3 linked regions of the Schizosaccharomyces pombe genome follow. The gene in region 3 interacts genetically with the main gene of each other region. Each region holds a gene or a part of one and is shown on either strand. Other genes may lie near its edges.

What was found. A genetic interaction does not mean that the proteins touch.
Region 1: mutations in irc6 (region 3) and ppk14 together harm fitness less than expected from each alone (positive genetic interaction), as found in Schizosaccharomyces pombe (one large-scale study listed by BioGRID).
Region 2: mutations in irc6 (region 3) and dad4 together harm fitness more than expected from each alone (negative genetic interaction), as found in Schizosaccharomyces pombe (one large-scale study listed by BioGRID).

Annotation. Positions count from the first base shown.
Region 1 is NC_003424.3:768,732-773,166, forward strand, and holds ppk14 (serine/threonine protein kinase Ppk14), read left to right. Parts: upstream 1-1,808; 5' UTR 1,809-1,891; coding exon 1,892-3,592; 3' UTR 3,593-3,935; downstream 3,936-4,435. Other genes in the region: SPOM_SPAC4G8.04 (GTPase-activating protein), read left to right, coding at 1-1,017, 1,081-1,359; tRNA 4-demethylwyosine alpha-amino-alpha-carboxypropyltransferase Trm12, read right to left, coding at 3,942-4,435.
Region 2 is NC_003423.3:4,004,563-4,008,100, reverse strand, and holds dad4 (DASH complex subunit Dad4), read left to right. Parts: upstream 1-1,718; 5' UTR 1,719-1,766; coding exon 1,767-1,871; intron 1,872-1,899; exon of another isoform or gene 1,900-1,930; coding exon 1,931-2,044; 3' UTR 2,045-2,072; coding exon of another isoform or gene 2,073-2,160; 3' UTR 2,161-2,235; coding exon of another isoform or gene 2,236-2,297; 3' UTR 2,298-2,461; coding exon of another isoform or gene 2,462-2,713; 3' UTR 2,714-2,818; coding exon of another isoform or gene 2,819-2,929; 3' UTR 2,930-2,975; downstream 2,976-3,538. Other genes in the region: cleavage and polyadenylation specificity factor complex subunit Ctf1, read left to right, coding at 74-104, 147-1,096, 1,134-1,244; SNARE protein Vti1, read right to left, coding at 2,073-2,160, 2,236-2,297, 2,462-2,713, 2,819-2,929, 2,976-3,081, 3,119-3,144; ESCRT II complex subunit Vps36, read right to left, coding at 3,386-3,538.
Region 3 is NC_003424.3:2,463,660-2,467,928, reverse strand, and holds irc6 (recombination protein Irc6), read right to left. Parts: upstream 2,705-4,269; 5' UTR 2,582-2,704; coding exon 2,524-2,581; exon of another isoform or gene 2,484-2,523; coding exon 2,094-2,483; exon of another isoform or gene 2,052-2,093; coding exon 1,860-2,051; exon of another isoform or gene 1,817-1,859; coding exon 1,716-1,816; 3' UTR 1,435-1,715; coding exon of another isoform or gene 670-1,434; 3' UTR 501-669; downstream 1-500. Other genes in the region: SUMO-targeted ubiquitin-protein ligase subunit Rfp1, read left to right, coding at 670-1,434; mRNA-decapping complex catalytic subunit Dcp2, read left to right, coding at 2,978-4,269.

The DNA of each region.
Region 1 (4,435 bases), 1.7 Mb from region 3:
CCTTCGATGCCTTCAATTGGTTCTGTGGAGTTGGGAAATATGATTCCTAAGGAAACCCAGCCGCCCTCAATGCGAAATGATTGGAAAGATTATTTAGATAATAATTCCAAGGAAATTCTCGATCAATTTGGTTTTTTACAAAAACGACCAAGTCACGACACCCCTTTATGTCCGGAGGACATAAAATTAAATCAGAAACAGACTCTGTCGTTCTATGAAAGCAATTATGGCTTGGTTGATGATTTTTTTGGCAACGAGTTAGATGGGCTCAACGATTCTCCATTGTTGCTAAATAAAAAAGATATTTTATTGGATATGAAAGAAAGTACCCGACAAAAAAACTGGAGCTTGTTTTTTCAACGCTTGTACAAAAAATATAAAATTACCGATGAGGATACAATTGGTTTACTAGGAATATCTAGCATAGGTGTTAAAGGGCGTCATGGTAAAAAAAGATGGCATAAATTTCGTGAACTTGTGAAAAATGGTGTTCCTTTGTGCTATAAAGCTAAAGTTTGGTTAGAGTGCTCAGGCGCTTATCAATTACATTCACCTGGCTATTATGAAGAACTATTATCACGTACTGATGAGGTTGAATCAGCGAGTGTTGCGCAAATCGATATGGATATTAACAGGACTATGGCTAAAAATGTATTTTTTGGAGGAAAAGGACCTGGAATCCCGAAATTACGACGAATTTTAGTTGCTTATAGCCGCCACAATCCACACATAGGCTATTGTCAAGGAATGAATGTTATTGGTGCCTTTCTTCTTTTATTATATGCTTCAGAAGAAGACGCGTTTTATATGCTAATGAGCATAATTGAAAACGTTTTACCTCCGAAATACTTTACTCCTGACCTGATGACTTCGCGAGCTGATCAGCTGGTTTTGAAAAGCTTTGTGAAAGAGTCATTACCGGAAATCTATTCCCATTTAGAATTACTTGGGGTTGATTTGGACGCCATTTCATTTCATTGGTTTTTAAGTGTATATACTGATACACTCCCTACGAATGTACGATAAGTGGTTTTGAAAGATTATTAAAGTATGAATTGTTTACTAACTACTTTTTTTTAGATATCTTTTAGAATATTTGACATGTTGTTTTGTGATGGTTATGTATGCTTATTTAGAGTTGCACTTACGATTCTAAAATCTTTAAAGCAACAAATTTTAGCATGCAATTCCTCTTCTGCCATCTACTCATTTTTGAGTGATTTGGTTCAATACTCTTTTCAACCCGATTCGTTTATTAAAGAGGCTGCTGATCGGTGGTCCAAACTTGTTACGGAAAAGAGTATTGAACGGAAACGTAACTTGGCTATTTCTTCGTTAAACTTAGCGGTCAATTATTGAGTTCTTTGTTTTGTTTTACTGGTTTGATTCGTGATCGTTGGTAAGTTATGATCTTTAATAAATAAAAAAGCTTTTTGTTGCCTCATGGGCATCTTATTCATTTTTATGTTGGGTTACTCATGAATATAATTTTTTAATGTTTTCCATCACTGTATACTATGACTGGGTTATTTTAATGCTGTTTCAGGAGTCCATTTCATTATAATTTGGAAGTATAGAATGTAAAATCTTTTTTGAAAACTCTTGTATGAAGCTAGGCAATCCATGCATAACTTTCACTTATAGTTTTTGATTTGTTTGGTTTAATAAACATAGACAGATTCTTGCTCTTCATATATTTTCCTGTATGCTATATAAACATTGCTCTTACGGTTTGTGAGGTACAACGATCGATAACGCAGTCGGTTATATTTCTAGTATATCATAAGTGTCAGTGTCTCAGTAATGTCATCCGGTGTACTTTCCGCCATACACAAAAATATCAGTGGAATTGAATTGTATTGCGACCGACTCGTAGCACTTTCAAAAGCAAATGAATGAACTTCATGATGGTGAGAGCTCTGAGGAAGGAAGGATCAATGTTGAAGATCACCTAGAAGAAGCTAAGAAAGATGACACAGGACACTGGAAACATTCCGGCACTGCCAAGCCATCCAAGTTTCGAGCCTTCATAAGGCTGCATTTTAAGGATAGCAGAAAGTTTGCTTTTTCTCGAAAGAAGGAAAAAGAATTGACGTCGGAAGATAGCGATGCTGCAAATCAATCACCTTCTGGTGCACCTGAGTCGCAGACCGAGGAAGAGTCTGATCGCAAAATTGATGGCACTGGTAGTTCCGCAGAAGGTGGTGACGGGAGTGGTACTGATTCAATTTCCGTAATAAAAAAATCGTTTTTTAAAAGTGGGAGGAAGAAGAAAGATGTTCCCAAGTCGCGAAATGTTTCTCGTAGTAATGGTGCTGATACCTCAGTTCAGCGAGAAAAGTTAAAAGATATTTTCAGTCCTCATGGGAAGGAAAAAGAATTGGCTCATATTAAGAAAACTGTTGCAACGAGAGCGAGAACATATTCTTCCAACTCTATCAAGATATGTGATGTTGAGGTTGGTCCATCTAGCTTTGAAAAGGTTTTTCTACTTGGCAAGGGAGATGTCGGTCGAGTTTATCTTGTTAGAGAAAAAAAGTCTGGCAAATTTTATGCCATGAAAGTTTTGAGTAAGCAAGAAATGATTAAACGCAACAAAAGCAAACGAGCTTTTGCAGAACAGCACATTCTTGCGACAAGTAACCACCCATTCATTGTTACACTTTATCATTCTTTTCAATCTGATGAATACCTTTATTTATGTATGGAGTATTGTATGGGAGGTGAGTTTTTTCGAGCTTTGCAACGACGTCCTGGCCGTTGTTTATCAGAAAACGAGGCCAAATTTTACATTGCAGAAGTTACCGCTGCATTAGAATACCTCCACTTGATGGGATTTATTTATAGAGATTTGAAGCCTGAAAATATTTTGTTGCATGAGTCAGGACATATTATGCTTTCTGATTTTGATTTATCTAAACAATCAAACTCTGCCGGTGCACCAACGGTAATTCAGGCCAGGAATGCACCATCCGCTCAAAATGCTTACGCATTGGATACAAAATCATGTATCGCAGATTTTCGCACAAATTCATTTGTCGGCACAGAAGAGTATATTGCTCCAGAAGTTATCAAGGGTTGTGGTCATACAAGCGCTGTTGACTGGTGGACTTTGGGTATTTTATTTTATGAAATGCTATATGCCACGACTCCTTTCAAAGGTAAAAATAGAAACATGACTTTTTCGAATATTTTACACAAGGATGTTATATTCCCTGAATATGCGGATGCTCCTTCAATTTCCAGCCTTTGCAAGAATTTGATTAGAAAATTATTAGTGAAAGATGAAAATGATCGCCTTGGGTCACAGGCTGGTGCTGCAGACGTGAAGCTTCATCCTTTTTTTAAAAATGTCCAATGGGCTCTATTAAGGCACACTGAGCCTCCGATTATTCCAAAGCTTGCCCCTATTGATGAAAAAGGCAATCCTAATATTTCCCATCTAAAGGAAAGTAAAAGTTTGGATATTACTCATTCTCCCCAAAACACACAAACAGTTGAAGTTCCCCTATCTAATTTATCGGGTGCAGATCATGGAGATGATCCCTTCGAATCGTTTAATTCAGTTACTGTGCATCATGAGTGGGATTAGGTCATTTTCTTTTCTTCCTGTAACTTGCATATTGATGGTAATTTTTCGCACGTCTATGATATTTTTCTCATCTTTTTGTTTAATCAATCCATTATTAAAAGAGCATTTGCTGACTTCATTCATTGCATATATTGATACGTTGTTGAGGCACAAAATATTTCGCTTAACTAGATTCTCCTTTTCACCACAAAGTCTTTCTTTTTTCTACCTTACTTTTACCAGATTCAGACATGCTTTCTCTATTTTCAATAGGAAGTTAAATAAACTTCTAGACAGAATATAACATATACCATTCTAATAACATATTTTGTAAAATAACCAAAAACCACCTTAACAAAATTACCATTAACTAAACCGTCTCTATATCGTAAACGATATGTGACACTCGTGGTGAAAATGATTTGACACAATTTGTAACACAAACTGTATTTTTAGCCAACATTTTTGAAAAACATGAATTCACTTCAGAAGAGTATGTTTCGATATCTTCATCTTTTACGTTCTCATGAACATGTATAAAGGAATGTGATTCTCGCTTTAAAATTGAAGTAGCGGTTGACCAGGATTTTTCACTAGAGGGGAGCATTCCCAAATTTATATGTCGAGCAGAAATATTCATTTTGGAGAACCTTTCAGCTGCATAAACGTTGCTTTCCAAAAAAACTACAATACGATGAGTTCCTACTTTAAATTCATAGTTTTCTCCATTTCGAACTACATAAATAGACCAGCCATTTTTCAAAGCAGCTCTCCTTAACGCTTCAACACTCCATGGATTAATTTCCCAGCAAAAAACTGTTGAAGCTCCCGCTTTAACGTAAGAAAATGTAAAGTACCCTATAC
Region 2 (3,538 bases), on a different chromosome or scaffold from region 3:
TGATTTAAGTAGTAGTAGTAGTAGTAGCAGTACGTTGGTTGAATGGGCAAAACCGAAAGACGCGACTACCAGCATGTCGATGACAGCCGGGAATGTCGTATTTGGTAATAATTCTTTAAATATTCGGTTTTGCTAATCTAATTTAGTTGGTAACATTCCATATGATGTTTCGGAACAGCAAATGACTGAAATCTTTAATCAAGTTGGACCAGTAAAGACTTTCAAACTTGTACTTGATCCGGAAACAGGTAGTGGGAAGGGTTATGGGTTTTGTGAGTTTTTTGATAGTGAGACTACCGCTATGGCTGTACGAAAGTTAAATAATTCCGAATTAGGACCTCGTAAGATTCGTGTCGAGTTTCCATCAAATGATCCCAGAAGGAATCAAAGTTATGAATATACGGAGCGTACTGATAGATACATGGAACAGCAAAATGCTCATGAAAGTTCTTATAATTCCCGTTTTATTCCTCCTGTTTTGCATTCAACATCTTCCCTGCCTGCTTCACAAGGAGGTGGGATGCCAAGTCCTGCTATTTATTCGTCGTCAATGGCTACTAATCTTAATAAAAATATAAATTCTACTTCTGTTCCTGCTTATAATTTTCACAACAGTATGACCTCCGACTTTGATTCTGCCAGTCAACCCCATACAGATGCATACAATGCAAGAACCTTTCAGTATAATAAATCTTCACAAAACAAAGGGGATTACACTTCCGGGACTTCTATATCGAATCCGACTTCTATCCCATTGGCCCCGTCTGTCGTTCAGGTACTATCTACCTTCTCAGCTCAGGAACTTCTCAATATGTTGTCCAAACTTCAGACTGTAGTTCATATAGCACCAGAAGAGGCACGACGACTTCTAATTGCTAATCCTGCTTTACCATACGCCGCCTTTCAAGCTATGTTGCTGATGAACTTAGTTGACGCAAATGTCTTACAACAAGTAGTAGTCGCAGTGAAGAATAAAAACATGCATCAACCAGCTTCAGCAACTTCCTCTCCTCCTTCTGTTCCCCAAAAAATACCTTCTAGTAACCATAAAAGTCAACAAGCGAATGGTTCAGATCAGGGCAATGAAGGGAAGCGGGTACGTTTTTTTTTTTTTTTTTGCACTAACAAAACAGATGGCCCTCATACAACAATTGTTGGCTCTTACCCCAGAGCAAATTAACGCATTACCTCCTGCACAAAGGGATCAAATTCTTAGCATTCGTCGGCAGCATTTTCGACAGTAAGTCTAATTTTAGTAATATCAAGAGATTAAATATTAGCATTTGACCAAGTACTTAAATTTGGTGTGCAAGATAATTTATTTACAACACTATAAACCATATCCTAGCACTGATACCTTTTCATACTACACACTTCTTTATACTATTCGGATGTTTTGCTTCTCATAAATATTTGTTTCTATACGCGTTATGGAGGGCTATTTCTTGGATCCTTTATTCAATATCCTTTTATAAAAATTTACTCAATCAATATTTCATATTAAAATTTATTATTTTTTATATTTTAAACTGCCCTTTTGATCGTAAATATATTATAAAAATGTAGGTGGTAACATCAACTGATACTTCTCAAATAAATATGCAACTCATAAATTCCCAAAAAGTTCAATTTCTTAAAAAAAATTTAGATCACAGGTTTAAAATTGTAGTTCAATTTTTCCAACTACGAAGTGTCAGCACTGGCTCATGCAAGCTTCCAAGTACAGACTACATAATTACAGTTTAGGAAATTGAAAACCATCGAAAATGAATAATCCTATGGAAGAACAGCAAAGCGCATTATTAGGAAGGATCATAAGTAATGTAGAAAAGCTGAATGAAAGTATTACAAGACTCAATCATTCATTACAGGTAAGATTACGACGTCAAATATTTGTGTACATATCAACTTTCCGCTGACATTCTTAAAGCTAATTAATATGTCTAATATGAATGTTGAGCTAGCTAGTCAAATGTGGGCGAATTATGCAAGAAACGTAAAATTCCACTTGGAAGAGACCCATACGCTTAAAGATCCCATCTAAAGTTATATGATGTTCTTTAATATTTGTGCTAACGAAATTTGCTATAAAGCACAAGCAAAATTAATATAACAAGGATTGCAATTATTGCTGTCGTGAAAAATCTGTTCATGGCAAGTCTTTAAAATGAGTTAGTATAAAAGATCATTACATGACGATTCATATCACTATAATAATGTCTATCTGTGTCCTACCTTCTTGCCATTGTCTTCAGAGTTCTTAAACTTCGATCAAGGTGTCCAGACGTATCTCCAAGCTAATTTGGTTAACAAATCTCAAAGAAATTTATACATAGCATAAAAGAAAACTATATTTTTAAACCATGGAGCTAATAAGCTTGGCTAAGATATGCGTATAAATCGCGCATTTTATCTTATCAATCATAGTGATTCATTTATCTATTTTGCAATAATTACTTACCATCTCTAAAGAATGCTCCAATTGATTTCTTTGACCATGAAGATCACGAAGAATGCTAGCACCAATGCCTTCAGTCTCATTCGCAATCCGTTGTGATTCAAGAAGACGCTGTGAAGATTGCTCAAGTCTATTTGTTCCTTGTAACAAACGAGTTCTTTGGTCATAATCTTGATCACTTGCAATATAATCACCGGATGTTTCATCCCTATTTCCAAAAAGGGCTTTCCTATCTGATTTGCCAATTTCTTCCTTCTAAACGAGAAAATTGTTAGTATGAATTTGGTAAATAAAAGTAGATTGTCTCATAGTAATTTCTGTAAAGCTTCAAAAGAAGAATGTTCGATATAGCTAACTTACCAGGTGTCTACGCCACTCCTCCAAAGTTGAACGATAACTACGAATTCTTCCATTTACGAGACCTCTTTCAGAAGTAGGGATACCGGTAATTTCAATTTCCATTTGACCAATCTGCAAGTTAGCCACTTTTTTAAAAACACAAATTATTCCAACATACTACTTCATCAATTTCATTTAAAAGTCTCTGACATGATTGAATAACAGAGTTCTCACCACTTTTACTTAAATCATTAAGTTTTTCTTCGATATCTGCTCGAAGCAAGCTAATTATTAGTAAACTTGTAATGGTATTAGACATACCGATATTCTTGCTCGTACGTCTCCATATTTAACAATTATTAATATTGATATATTAGATTTCTTGAAACTATCGTGTAAACAGTTTCTCAAATGAATTAAAAATAAAATAGGTGTAGGTTAAGATTAAATGGTTACGTTGGGAATCGAATACCCATAACAGGTAGTCATATTAATTAAGGCGTGTGTAGAGAGGAATCTACTAAAGCGAAAGAAAAATACAATGTTAAAAGGAATGAATATTAATTAGATAGTGTACAGTTATTATTCCTATGATTCATCAAACCATTTAGTCAATTCTTCTGATAATTCGTCAAATTCGTTTTTCCAGTATAGTAAGCTAGAACCAGATTCTTCATAAACATCACGTACAATGTAACCGTCCATCTCAGCTTGATAAAGTCTTTCTAACGTTACACCAAT
Region 3 (4,269 bases):
TCTTTGTTAATGTCGCTCGCTTTTGATGCTGGTCTAAAAGCAGTGTTATCCATTATTTGATTTATCATATTTATACTCAAAAAAATTCAAGACAGGAACTTGATATTCAAGCGCTGATGTTCCAATTACTCATTTGTGAAAGTTTAACTTCAGAATCTAGCGGATTTAATAAATACAATCCTAATTCTTCAACAATTGTACTATCAAATATCGTCTAGTATTTTAAATTCATTTTCTGTGCTTTAATAAAAAATCCATATCGTCTACTAGAGGCATATTTTTTTGGTTCTTCTTGCTAAATTAAGCTCGTAAAATTCCTCTATTCGCCATATCTTCTTTGGCGTTTGATCTTCTCAGTAAATTATCACATAAGGTCATTTCCTTTTTATAAAGATAATGTGTAAACAAAGAAATGCGACTTCTAATTTACGTTTCTTTACTAGCCATTAGTTTATAAATAATAAAGCATACTGGACATTGCCTTAAAAATGCACCGAACTGTTGGTCTGCGGTATTTTGATATACAGCAATACATTAGAGCTTTATATTAAATAATACCGTTTCGTTAATATATGCAAGGCCAAAATATATACAAATAAATCGACTTAATTTTTTGCCCGTTGTCAATTACTTGACAGGAAACAATTGTGTATCTTTTTTCACACATCAATGCAATTTAATGGAAGCAATGGAATAGATGAAAGCAGTGTAATTGATTTGACGAGATCACCTTCTCCACCAGTCGAAACTTCTATTTCTTCAACAAATATCATTGATTTGGATGCTATTCCTGATGACAGCTTTCCATCATCTCCTGTTCTAAGTCCTCGAAGAAGGCGTATGAACCGGAGAAGGAATGAACGGTCTCGTAACTTTCCTTCAAATCATTTATCGTATTTGGAAGACATGATTTACTTAGGTCCTCAGGTGTCCACTCGTCGTTCTTCTTCACGTCGAGATTTGATGGGAATGATTGCCAGGACATTTCCTGAGTTTAGTTCTGTTAATTCCTTATCCCCTTCTCTTTTCCAGTTGATTGTGAACCGAATGAGATTTGACGCTATACATCCAGAATGGACTAACGGTTCAGACGACGAATATTTCTCTAACCATTTTGAAGAATCATATGATGATTTTACTTCTTCTTTAGAAAATATAAAACAGTCTTACAAGCCTCCAGGCCCTCCAAAATCTGGATTTACTAGAAGCTTTAACAATGATACATTGATGGTTTGTCCAAGATGTCAGGAACCATTAGGAACATCCAAAAGCAAAGAGAAATCTGCATTATGGGCAACAAAGTGTGGTCACGTCTATTGTGGCTCTTGTGCAAAAGTTTTGAAAACCAGTAAACGATCTCAGTCAAAATGTCTAGTGAATGACTGTGGCCGTTATTTAAATACGAAAAATGCCATGTGGGAATTATTTTATTGACGAACCTTGTACATTGAAAATGTAGTCCATTGTGTTGGATTTATAATGTCTATAATAATGAAATACGACCAAAATTATCACAATTTGTGACTGAGCTTTACTTACGAATTTTTTTTAAGTTGCTAATAGGTCCTCTTTCAATACAGCAGATTTAGATTTTAGTAAAAAATACTTTGATAAAACTTAATTGAACCTTTCTTGCAAACTCAAATAGTTATTATACATCAATTTGTGCTCCAGCGACAACATGTATTCTCCGGATACGAACAAAGGCCTTGTTTCTACAGCGATTCATAATCATTTTCCTCGAATTCATCGCCTAACAATTTTTCTAAAAGATTTAAAGCCTTGGCCTTTTTCTCATTTTTTTCCAGGTCAGCATCTAAATTTCGTTGTTAGTTTAGTCGACTCAAGGAGTTACCAACCTCTAATTTGGTTCATTTCTTTCATCAAATTATCCAGATCCGTCGATTGCATGTCTGGACTTCCTTTGAATCGTTCCGGGAGATAGAAATCTCCGGCATCATCCTTTTCTTCCGAGAAACTTTTATCAACTTGTGACAAGTTCCATTCGCAGCAATCGAGAATTTCTCGAACACGGTCCAGTCCTACTTTCTCTAAAGAGACTTGTTAATAAATAGAAGATTGGTTGACTTTACCATTGAATTCATTCACTCCTTCCTCGCTGATAGAAATATATTCTGGGGTAAACACATCAGGTGGTTCTAGTAATTTTTCATCTGACATGTGCAACCCAATTACCGGAATCTCTAGCTGTAGTTTATCTATAAAATTTTTAAAAAGAGACCACTCAGCTTCATCAAAACTTCGAAAAGTATATACAATGGCACCTAAGCTATCAATAACTTCCTTCGCTTCTTCAGAACTATAAGCATCCAAAGTTTCAGCTAAATTAGAATATTCTTCAATCCAAATACCAACCGAAGCTTCAAAATATTTATTTCTGATATTATACTTATGAATCAAGCCAGAATGATCATTGTTAAATGCCTCGTCATCTAACCCCTTCGGTAAAGAACCCGTCAAAGCTTTTCAATTAGTAATTGCAAATAGAACACTAATATTTACCCTTAATAAAATCTAGCTTTCCAGAATTAGAGCGACCTATAACCAAAATAACTCGCATATGATTTTATGTACTTAGCAAAAATTAATTCGCTTTTTTATATTTTCAATCAGTTCTGTAGAATATTAAACAAGTTTTTGGTGGATAAATAAATTCTCGAAAGACCTAAAGGTAAGGCAAATTGTGATTTTAACTACAGTCTAACAGTTTAATGAAACAAGGATTGAGCAATAGTATAGCGCAGTGTGATACATTCCTAAATCAATAATGGTTTAGTTTATCACTAACGAAGGTTGGTACGTAATTTTACGTGTCCCTAACTCTGTGTTATACGCACACGCATAAATGGCTTTAAATACCAAGACGCACAAAAATTAAAGTTGACGAATTTGTCGTGCTTTGGAGTGACTTAGAATTTTAAATGCAAACAATAGACTACTATATATTAAAAGAAATATGTCGTTCACAAATGCCACGTTTTCGCAAGTGCTGGATGATTTATCAGCTAGATTTATCTTGAATTTACCAGCAGAGGAGCAAAGTAGCGTTGAACGACTTTGTTTTCAAATCGAACAAGCTCATTGGTTTTATGAAGATTTTATACGTGCGCAAAACGATCAGTTGCCATCACTAGGTTTGCGTGTTTTTAGTGCAAAGCTTTTTGCTCACTGTCCTTTATTGTGGAAGTGGAGTAAGGTCCATGAAGAGGCGTTTGATGATTTTTTACGATATAAGACTCGTATTCCTGTCCGCGGAGCTATAATGCTTGATATGTCAATGCAGCAATGCGTACTTGTCAAAGGATGGAAAGCATCATCCGGCTGGGGATTTCCTAAGGGAAAAATTGATAAAGATGAATCTGATGTTGATTGTGCTATTCGTGAAGTATATGAAGAAACAGGCTTTGACTGTTCTAGCCGTATAAATCCTAATGAATTTATTGATATGACTATACGTGGACAAAACGTTCGATTGTATATTATTCCTGGAATATCTTTGGATACAAGATTTGAATCTCGTACAAGAAAAGAAATTAGTAAAATTGAATGGCATAATCTTATGGATCTTCCTACATTCAAAAAAAATAAACCTCAGACCATGAAAAACAAATTTTACATGGTAATCCCATTTTTGGCGCCATTGAAGAAATGGATTAAGAAGAGGAATATTGCCAATAACACTACCAAAGAAAAGAACATTTCCGTTGATGTTGATGCTGATGCTTCTTCCCAACTGCTTTCTCTTTTGAAATCTTCGACAGCACCTTCAGACCTTGCTACTCCGCAACCTTCAACTTTTCCTCAGCCACCAGTTGAATCACATTCTTCTTTTGACATTAAACAGAAAATCTTGCATTTATTAAATGAAGGAAATGAACCTAAATCTCCAATTCAACTTCCTCCTGTGTCGAACCTTCCTCTTAATCCCCCCATTCAAAGCAGCAATTCTCGTTTATCGCATGATAATAACAGTTTCGATCCTTTTGCTTACCTTGGATTGGATCCAAAAAATCCATCTGCTTCTTTTCCAAGAGTTGTTTCTCAAAACAACATGTTAACTAATAAACCTGTGTTGAATAATCACTTTCAGCAGAGTATGTATTCAAATTTACTTAAAGACCAAAATTCTGTTCAGCATTTATTTGCCGCTAGCGACATGCCTTCTCCAATGGAATTGCCCTCGCCAAGTACTGTTTATCATCAAGTTTTTTATCCTCCCACTTCGACTTCCGTTAGTTCCTATGGTTT